Linked DNA regions of Arabidopsis thaliana. The protein of the gene in region 1 interacts with the protein of each later gene in a pairwise test. Each region holds a gene or a part of one and is shown in the gene's direction. Other genes may lie near its edges. The genes, in order: AT3G03550 and AT1G74840.

The links.
Region 2: the proteins of AT3G03550 (region 1) and AT1G74840 interact in a two-hybrid assay, tested with the Arabidopsis thaliana proteins (one large-scale study listed by BioGRID).

What each region holds. Positions count from the first base shown.
Region 1 is NC_003074.8:849,529-853,901, reverse strand, and holds AT3G03550 (RING/U-box superfamily protein), read left to right. Parts: upstream 1-2,160; 5' UTR 2,161-2,440; coding exon 2,441-3,511; 3' UTR 3,512-3,794; downstream 3,795-4,373. Other genes in the region: AT3G03560 (uncharacterized protein), read left to right, coding at 8-78, 173-292, 371-456, 583-628, 717-749.
Region 2 is NC_003070.9:28,114,813-28,119,489, reverse strand, and holds AT1G74840 (Homeodomain-like superfamily protein), read left to right. Parts: upstream 1-2,067; 5' UTR 2,068-2,172; coding exon 2,173-2,455; intron 2,456-2,618; coding exon 2,619-2,827; intron 2,828-2,983; coding exon 2,984-3,289; 3' UTR 3,290-4,047; downstream 4,048-4,677. Other genes in the region: PTAC2 (plastid transcriptionally active 2), read left to right, coding at 1-253; AT1G74830 (myosin-binding protein, putative (Protein of unknown function, DUF593)), read left to right, coding at 4,297-4,677.

The sequences.
Region 1 (4,373 bases):
TCTACAGATACAGAGATGCAAACAGAAATCGACACTTATATATCCAGAGGTCAAGCAAGCTTTAATGTGCAGCTTCTGGTAAGTTTTAAGATCACATCTTGAATCCACTGTCTCAGGTTTAATTCAGCTGTTGATTTAACAACCGTTTTTTCATGGCTATTTATTTCGAAAGATGGATTCATCAGAGAGTTGGGAACCCGCAACTGTTGTTTTGAAGAGATCTAGTTACCAGATTAAAACGAATACCACAGAAGCTGTAGTGATCTCAGAGAAATACTCAAAGGAACTTCAGGTAAAAAAGATTCTTAGACATTGAGAATTAAAGCTTTCCTCATTTTCTTGGTCATCATAATTTAAACAAACTTTGCAGATAAGAGTACCGTCTGGAGAATCCACACAGTTTGTACTGATAAGTTATGATGGATCTTCACATCCCATAAGCACACTCAATGTCCGGTACGTATATACATTTCTCTGCATATAGCCATATACAGTAATTTTGTATCTCGTTTTACCGCAACATTATTTTACAAACTCACACCTAAAATCTCATGATTTTTGGCTTCTTCTTTTTTTTACCAGTATGCGTGATACGCTAGTCTTGACGATGAGAATGCTTCAAAGCAAGGTATGTTTTGAGAATTACTAAAACTAACCTATAAAATTGAACTAATTAGTTTTATAGTTTCATAACAATCTTTTTTATCATGAAGCAGGCACTGGACGAGCGCAGAAAAGGACGAGTTTAAAAGTTAGTGATGACTACACACTACAGAACAGATCCATCCTCGAGACCTTCAAATTTAAGTTTAATAAAATGGGGTCTGCGATTTCTATTTTTATAATTGAGTAATAATTGTTATCGCTATAGTTTTTGTATTATTATTTTTTGTCGTTTAGGTTCTATGTTTTTCTGAACAACAAAAATAAATCTTATTGTAATAGACTGTAACATTCACTCTGTACTGAATCTTCTTTTTTCTTTTTAAATAATACTGGGAAATACTATTTACAATGAGTGCACAACGAATTAAAAAGCAACTGCAAATTAAAAAAAAAAAATATCTGTCAAATATTTTTGTAAAATTTTAAGAAAATATTTAATATAACAATTAACAAATAACAATATTCTCCCAAACAAAGCTAAAACAAAAGAAATAAAATAAAAGCAAAGAATAGACACTTGAATCAGTAAAATAATTAGATTTGGTTAGACATCAAGCTAAAGAGGTTTTGTTCCAAAACATGAGATAACAGACAGTAAAATACATCTAACTTTATAGCCAGTTGGCATAACAACAATAACAACAACAAAAGGGGGAACAACTTTAGGCATGTGCAAATAGATGTGTAATCAATCATTTACGTCATATGACATATATAATTGGGTTTTACAGTTTATCTTTGAGCCCACAAGATAATTTCATTAAATCAGCTTAACGATTATGATTAGTAGCCTATTATTATCATTTGTGTAATTGTTTTTTAATCACACTTTACAGATATATACGATCTCGTAGCCTATTGTTAGCATTTGTATAATTGTTTTTAATCACACTTTATTATTATTATTTTCAACTTCTACATGTAAATATGTTATTTTGTACGTAGGGCATATGGTTGGCGAGTTCACATCAATCGTCCCTTGAACAACTATTAAAATTTTGTATTATAGTTGTCATAAATATGTAAACTAATATAAAACTGTATGTATTCGAATCATAGCAATGATTTTTTTGGAAAATCATTACTTTGATTACAAAACAAAAATGAAAAATCGTATAACGTGAATGTTATACTACTGTAGTTGAAATGAAATGAAAATATTCTTCTTCCATGTAGGTAGTCGGTAAATTGTACTGTATTTCTGACCACAACTTTAATAGATACGTCGAGGAGTAAATTTGTCATCCACGTGGCCCATGTTATAGTATTCCACCTTCGTCAACACTTCACCAACCATTTTTTTATGCCTTGAAATAGACTAAACCCTCTCTCTCTTTTTATTTCGTCAACACTAAAACACTTCTTATGTTACGTTCTCATTTCTCAAAATAAAATCAAAAAAAAAAAAAATGAACTCCATTTATTTTACTAATGTATTAATTTATCTTTAAAAAAAATGGAAGCATAAAGAGAAAGCTAAAGAATAAAAATGAATAAAGCAAATTCTACACCTTTATTCATACTAGAAATAAAAATTTGATAAAGTAGAACATTCACTATAAACATCATTCAATTAGTATTAACACCATCATGCAAAAGCTTTCATGAACATATATATTTATTCATTATCTCCTCTAATAATACCAATTAACTCGAAATAAAAAAATAGACACTTACCAGACAAAAGCAGAGCCCAAAGAAAAAGGAGAGAGACACTTGACACCTCCATCTTCTTCCTTGCTCTCTCTCTCTATCTTTCTCCAACAATCAAATAATGGGTTCAACAGGAAACCCTAATCCATGGGGTACAACATACGATTCATACAGAGACTGTTCTCAAGGAGTATGCAGTGTCTATTGCCCTCAATGGTGTTACGTCATCTTCCCTCCTCCTCCTTCCTTCTATCTCGACGACGAAGACGACTCTTCCTCCTCTGATTTCTCTCCTCTCCTCATCGCTCTCATCGGAATCCTCGCTAGCGCCTTCATCCTCGTCAGCTACTACACTCTCATCTCCAAATACTGCCACCGCCGTCGCCACAACTCCTCCTCTACCTCCGCCGCAGCTATAAACAGAATCTCATCAGATTACACCTGGCAAGGAACCAACAACAACAACAACAACGGAGCTACGAATCCGAATCAAACGATTGGTGGTGGTGGTGGCGATGGACTCGATGAATCTCTGATTAAATCGATAACTGTTTACAAATACAGAAAGATGGATGGATTTGTTGAATCTTCAGATTGCTCTGTTTGTTTAAGCGAGTTTCAAGAGAACGAGAGCTTGAGATTGTTACCTAAATGCAACCACGCGTTTCACGTTCCTTGTATTGATACTTGGTTGAAATCTCACTCTAATTGTCCTCTCTGCCGCGCCTTCATCGTCACTTCCTCCGCCGTTGAGATCGTCGATTTAACCAATCAACAGATCGTTACGGAGAACAACTCGATTTCGACCGGAGATGATTCCGTCGTTGTCGTTAACTTAGATCTGGAAAATTCTAGATCTCGGAATGAGACGGTTAATGAAGGATCGACGCCGAAACCACCGGAGATGCAGGATTCAAGAGACGGAGAAGAGCGGAGATCGGCGTCGTTAAACTCAGGCGGCGGTGTGGTATCGATCGCAGATATACTAAGGGAGATTGAAGACGACGAAGAATCAGCGGGTGTAGGAACTTCTCGGTGGGTAGAAGAAGGGGAAGGAGAGAAGACGCCTCCGCCGTCAGGATCGGCGGCGAATCAAACAAACGGAATTTCGAATTTTCTGGTTCGGAGTTCAATGGCGGCGATGAAGAGATCTGGTTACGATAGAGCAAAAAATTACCGTTTACCGAAATAAGTTATAAAAAAAAAATAAAAAAATAGGGAATTTGAAATTATTTTTAAAAATATCAAAAAAGTGCTGATTGGCTTTTTTAAAAAAATCTATATTTTAGTTTTGGTAATCTTATTATAACAATCAGAATCATTGTAAACCATTTGAGAAACAGAGCAATCAAAGAGTTTTGAATTTACCGCCCAAATATTCTTACGTATTTTTTTTACTTATAATTAATCTACATGTTCTTTTTCTTTTCTAGTGATGCCACTTCCTAGAAAATACCAGTTATGGTAAGTTTAGCTATATGTCACCACAATGACACCATGCAATTTTACGACATCCATATTAATTGTTAAGCTTAATATATATACAAAACGATGATATTTGCAAGGGATTTGGTGACCAATAGATGCACTCTAATTATACACGAGATCCTAAAATTGCAAGATACGAGAGAGGGAAATAAGTCAAGTATGAGATTAATCTATGCGCCTAAAACAAGTTTTTTTATTGCATGGGATCCAGGGCCGGCCTCATGACATGATCGATCACATCAGCCTGAGATCGCTGATGTTTACTTGATCAATAAAAGACGGCTATTGTTTATATTCCGAATTTTCATATGCATTGATAAAGATTATTAACGTAAAACATATATGCATATTTTAAACTTTGTGTGGTTTGTTTAGTTTTAATATACATTTTTTTGCTAATATCCAAGGCTAGAGCACTGAATTCTTTCTACATGTGAATATTGTGTCGGTAAGCCTTTTGAATAATTCACAATCCTTAGAAGATTTCCTCAAAAACAATGTTCAATTTTGAGAGAATATAATGAATTTTCAATTTTACAAAAATTAACTTGAAAGATCTTTTTTCC
Region 2 (4,677 bases), on another chromosome or scaffold:
CTCGTCCTCATTTTCCTTCACGGGATGGAATGGAGGTCGCATTATGTGCCAGCGATCTCAGCTCAAGCAGTTACTGTCAACGAAAGAGCCAACTTCAGAAGAATCCGAAAATAAAAACCTAGTGGCATTAGCAAACTCGCCAATATTTGCGGCTGGAACAAGAGCTTCAACAAGCAGTGACACGAACCACAGCGGTAACCCTACACAACGAAGAACCAGGACGAAAAAAGAACTAGCAGGGAGCACAGCTTAAGAACTAGACAACGTAGTTTCTGTTGCCAAGTCCAGAAATCAAAGGCCTCTTCTGCCTTCCTCCATATAGACTGGTGGGTGAAAACTGTGGGCGTATTTCACAAGCACTCCATATCCATGATAACTATGCTATGGTTTCAAGCAGTAGAGTCAACCTCTGTTAGACAGAAGAAGCTGGAGAAGAAGATAAATGGTGATCTTAGTTTATATGAAGAAGCGTCTATATGAAAATCTCAAGTAAGTAGCCAACTAAGTGTTTTGATGGATTGTTAGACCCATGATTTTGCAGCCATAGATTTTTTTTCGTTTTTTTTTCCATTCAACTATGTTTTTGATTACTATAAAGCTAAATGCTAATGTAAGATCAAAGCTCTAGTTACAATTAAAGGATCTATTAATCAAGATTCCTCAGGGAAGCTCTAGTTTTTGCTTGTGACCTCACCTGATGAACTCTCTCTGTTTCGAAATCTAACTTATTACATAGCAATGACCCAACTCCACCCAGAATAAAGAAAACAATCTGTTGTGCAAGATTCCTTCTTCGGTCTGATTAATCTTTTTCTCTCTCTCGTCCTCAGATATGTGTTTGTTTTCTGATTTAGGAAAGTCACTACAAGTTTGTCATCCAAATTGGTAATAAAATAAGAAAAAGATTGGAGAAAGAAAGGATCTTCCTATAGTGCTTCACACATTACAACTTTAAGATTCCACTTTGTGTGCGCATAAAAGTAATGGTGGCTTTGCTTTCTAACCGATGCTAGTGCTTTGTGTGATTTTGCTGTCTTCCAAAACTATTTACCAAATTTTGTAAATACTTTTTAGAATCTTTTCCCTACAAATCTAAAATAGATAAATAATAATAGTATGTGATCATATTGCTTACAGTCAAATCACATCCTAACATTCTACTAAAAGACTAAAACTATCACCTTTTTGTTTTTTAATGCTATATAGTTGTGATCAAGTCTGGACATACGATCATGCTGTTTATACTACAATTAGGTCCTTAACAGCGTCTTAAAATTTACTCTTAGCTAGAAAACGACAAATTCGACTACACAATCATTTTTGTTGTTGAATTAGATTCCTGAAATTGTAAGTTTTTGTGTTGAAATTCAAAGTTATAATTTCCAAAAAGGATTCACCTGTCTCCCAAGATTTTTTTCTTAATAATCAACTCATAGATCCACAAGATATAGTATTTTAGAAGAAAAAAAAGTACAAGGATGGAGCTGTAACTAAATAGATTATTAGAGCAGAGTACAGAATCATTTCAGAAGCTGACTATTTTTCTAAGCTCAAGTTGCATGCGCTTAGGCCTTAGAGACATTGCGTTGACCAGTACATTATAACCTGTAGATTTTTATCATAAAAATACATGAGGGTAACGTTAAGAAAAATAAAAGCGTCGATTTCATTTCATTTTTCTCATTCTGTTATTTCATTTTTTTGTATTTAACTTTGAGTTTGCGAAAGTCAATAAATATTTCTTCGTTATACGACCTACATTTTTTGGTCGACATAGCGAAATACTTTTTTAACTTCTTATTATAGGATAACATTTATTTAACTCTTTTTTCGTCATCCTATAAGATTAATTAAACTACTAACAAAAAACCTAATAAATCTAGTCAGCCAATGAATAAAAAAAGTCTATCCAAATGAAAACTCTGTAGAGAGACAGGCAGGTAAGAAAAAAATACAAGAACAGACGAATAAAAACAAAACACGTGTCATATGGTACCGTCACCAACACCTACAACATGTAATAGTTTAAAAAGGAACCACGTGGCTTTTGGCTTATAAAAGGGTCCCCAAAGAAGCTCAGATCTAACTCACACCACTCCATTGCCCATTGCTCTGTGTACTTTGCTTCTTTAGGAGAAAGAAAGCACAAGGGGCAAAATCGGAAAGATTATCATGGCCGACGGTAGTACTAGTTCTTCGGAGTCCACTACCGCCTGCGCTGGAAGCGGCACAAGAAGAGAGATTATGCTGTTCGGAGTCAGGGTTGTGCTTGACCCGATGAGAAAGTGCGTGAGTTTGAACAATCTGTCTGACTATGAACAGACGGCGGAGACTCCAAAGATCGACGGCGAAGATAGAGATGAACAAGATATGAACAAAACCCCGGCCGGTTACGCCTCGGCGGATGAAGCTCTTCCCATGTCTTCTTCTAACGGCAAAATCGAGAGGAAACGAGGTATTACTCTTCGATTGAAACTTTTTTTTATCATTCCATAAATTTGATCACTTTAAACTTAGGGATTTGTTAGATATGGTTTGAGAAATGGACTATGAACAACTTTATGTTCATTTGGATTTAGAAAGATGGCTAATTTATTGGGTTTCTTTCTATTTCTTAGGAGTTCCATGGACTGAAGAAGAACACAAGCTGTTCTTGCTTGGGCTGCAGAGAGTCGGTAAAGGAGATTGGAAAGGAATATCAAGAAACTTTGTCAAGACCAGAACCTCTACACAAGTTGCTAGTCATGCTCAGAAATACTTCCTCAGGCGAAGTAATCTTAACCGTCGCCGCCGAAGATCTAGCCTTTTTGACATGACTACTGATACGGTAAATCTCTAATCCTTTGTGACTCTAGTAAGTTAAGTGGTTAGGTTTAGTTTTTAGCTTAGTTGTTTAAAAGAAACTAATAGAGAGCCTTTGTGAATTGTTGGTTAGTGAAAACTTAAGTATAACAAAACTGATTTTGCTTGGTTTTGTTATCAGGTCATACCCATGGAAGAAGATCACCAAGTGCTTATACAGGAGAACACATCTCAATCATCTTCTCCTGTACCGGAAATCAACAACTTCTCTATACATCCGGTTATGCAAGTCTTTCCCGAGTTCCCGGTACCAACAGGGAATCAATCATACGGACAGCTTACTTCATCGAATCTCATCAATTTGGTTCCATTAACTTTTCAGTCAAGTCCAGCACCGCTTTCTCTCAACCTCTCACTAGCTTCATCTAATCTTAATGAACCATCTCCTTCAATGCATCCAGCATTCAACACGATTGGAGTCGCTTAGAGCTTATCCTAAAGGTGAAAATCTGCAACACACCCTGTTTGTTTCTTTGCTGTACAGATAGGTCTTGACTTTGTTATAAAAAAATTCGTCAAATTTATGTATTTGGCTAAAAAAAATCTGTTGAAAAGAAGAATAATAAACAGAGTTTGGAGATAGGACTTAAGTGGGGTTTTAGGGTTCATAATCATCCTGTGTTTTTCCTTCCATGTTTGGAAGTTGTTGTAATACTCTCTAAGTTCATTCGTGTGGATCTATCAAAACTTATAAATCATATTAACGTTATGTTTGTTTTATTCATGATCTCAATCATAAACAGAGTCGTAGTACTTGCTTATCATGTGGCTATCTAAATCATGTTAGATGATTCATGGGGTTTTAGGGTTTTTATAATATATCTGATTTCCAAGGATAAGATATTTTATGTTTGTAGAATAATGTCATTATCTTTAATGATGCCAATAATGTCAAATTTTATTGGTCACTTCCATCATAGTGGAGCTTTTTCTTTTCCCATCAGATGCTTTTAATATATTTTGTGTGGGATGATTACATATTACCCCTGTTGCGTAAGCAATAATCTTCCAATCACAGAACATGATCCCCATTCATTAATCGACCAATCAAACAGCATCATTTTTATATGATGATGATGTATATGTGTATGTCATGTGTGTGTTGGCATGTCCTCTGTTTCTGTCGTGTATGGTTGTATTCAGTTTTAGCGTCAACGACAAACTTCTCCTCACGTCTAAGCGGGGAAAAAAAAAAAAAAAACGAATCCAGTTTATCTTTGTTTGTTTTGTATCTCTCTGTCTTTTGACATTGTCTCTAAATTTATCAATTTCAAATCTGCGACTATCCTTTGTTTTTGGGTACTTTATCTCATCAAATTCCAGCCCAATCTAGACTCTCTAAACCCAGAAATAGAAACACAAATCACAAAAGATTGAGATAGATAGATCATGATCTCTGTTCTTTGTTGATCTTTGACCAAAATTCGATCTCCTATGTATATACAATTGCTCTGTTTTTTCTTGTTCTTGTTTCTGCTTTTACAAGCCACAATGTCTAAACGTTCTTTCAAGAAATTTGTGGAACAAGAACTCGGATCTCTTCCTCATTTCCTCATCTACACTGTTCTTGAATGGAGCCTCATTGTTTTCCTCTTCATCGACGGCGTTATCGCCTTTCTGTCAAACCAATTCGCCAAATTCTTCGACCTCAACATTCCTTGTCTTCTCTGCACCAGAATCGACCACATTCTCGTCCCTAGAGACCCTCAATTCTATTACAACGAGTCAATCTGCGACTCTCACAAGAAGAAAGTATCTTCTCTTGCTTATTGCCATGTCCATAAGAAGCTCTCTGAGATTAAACATATGTGTGAA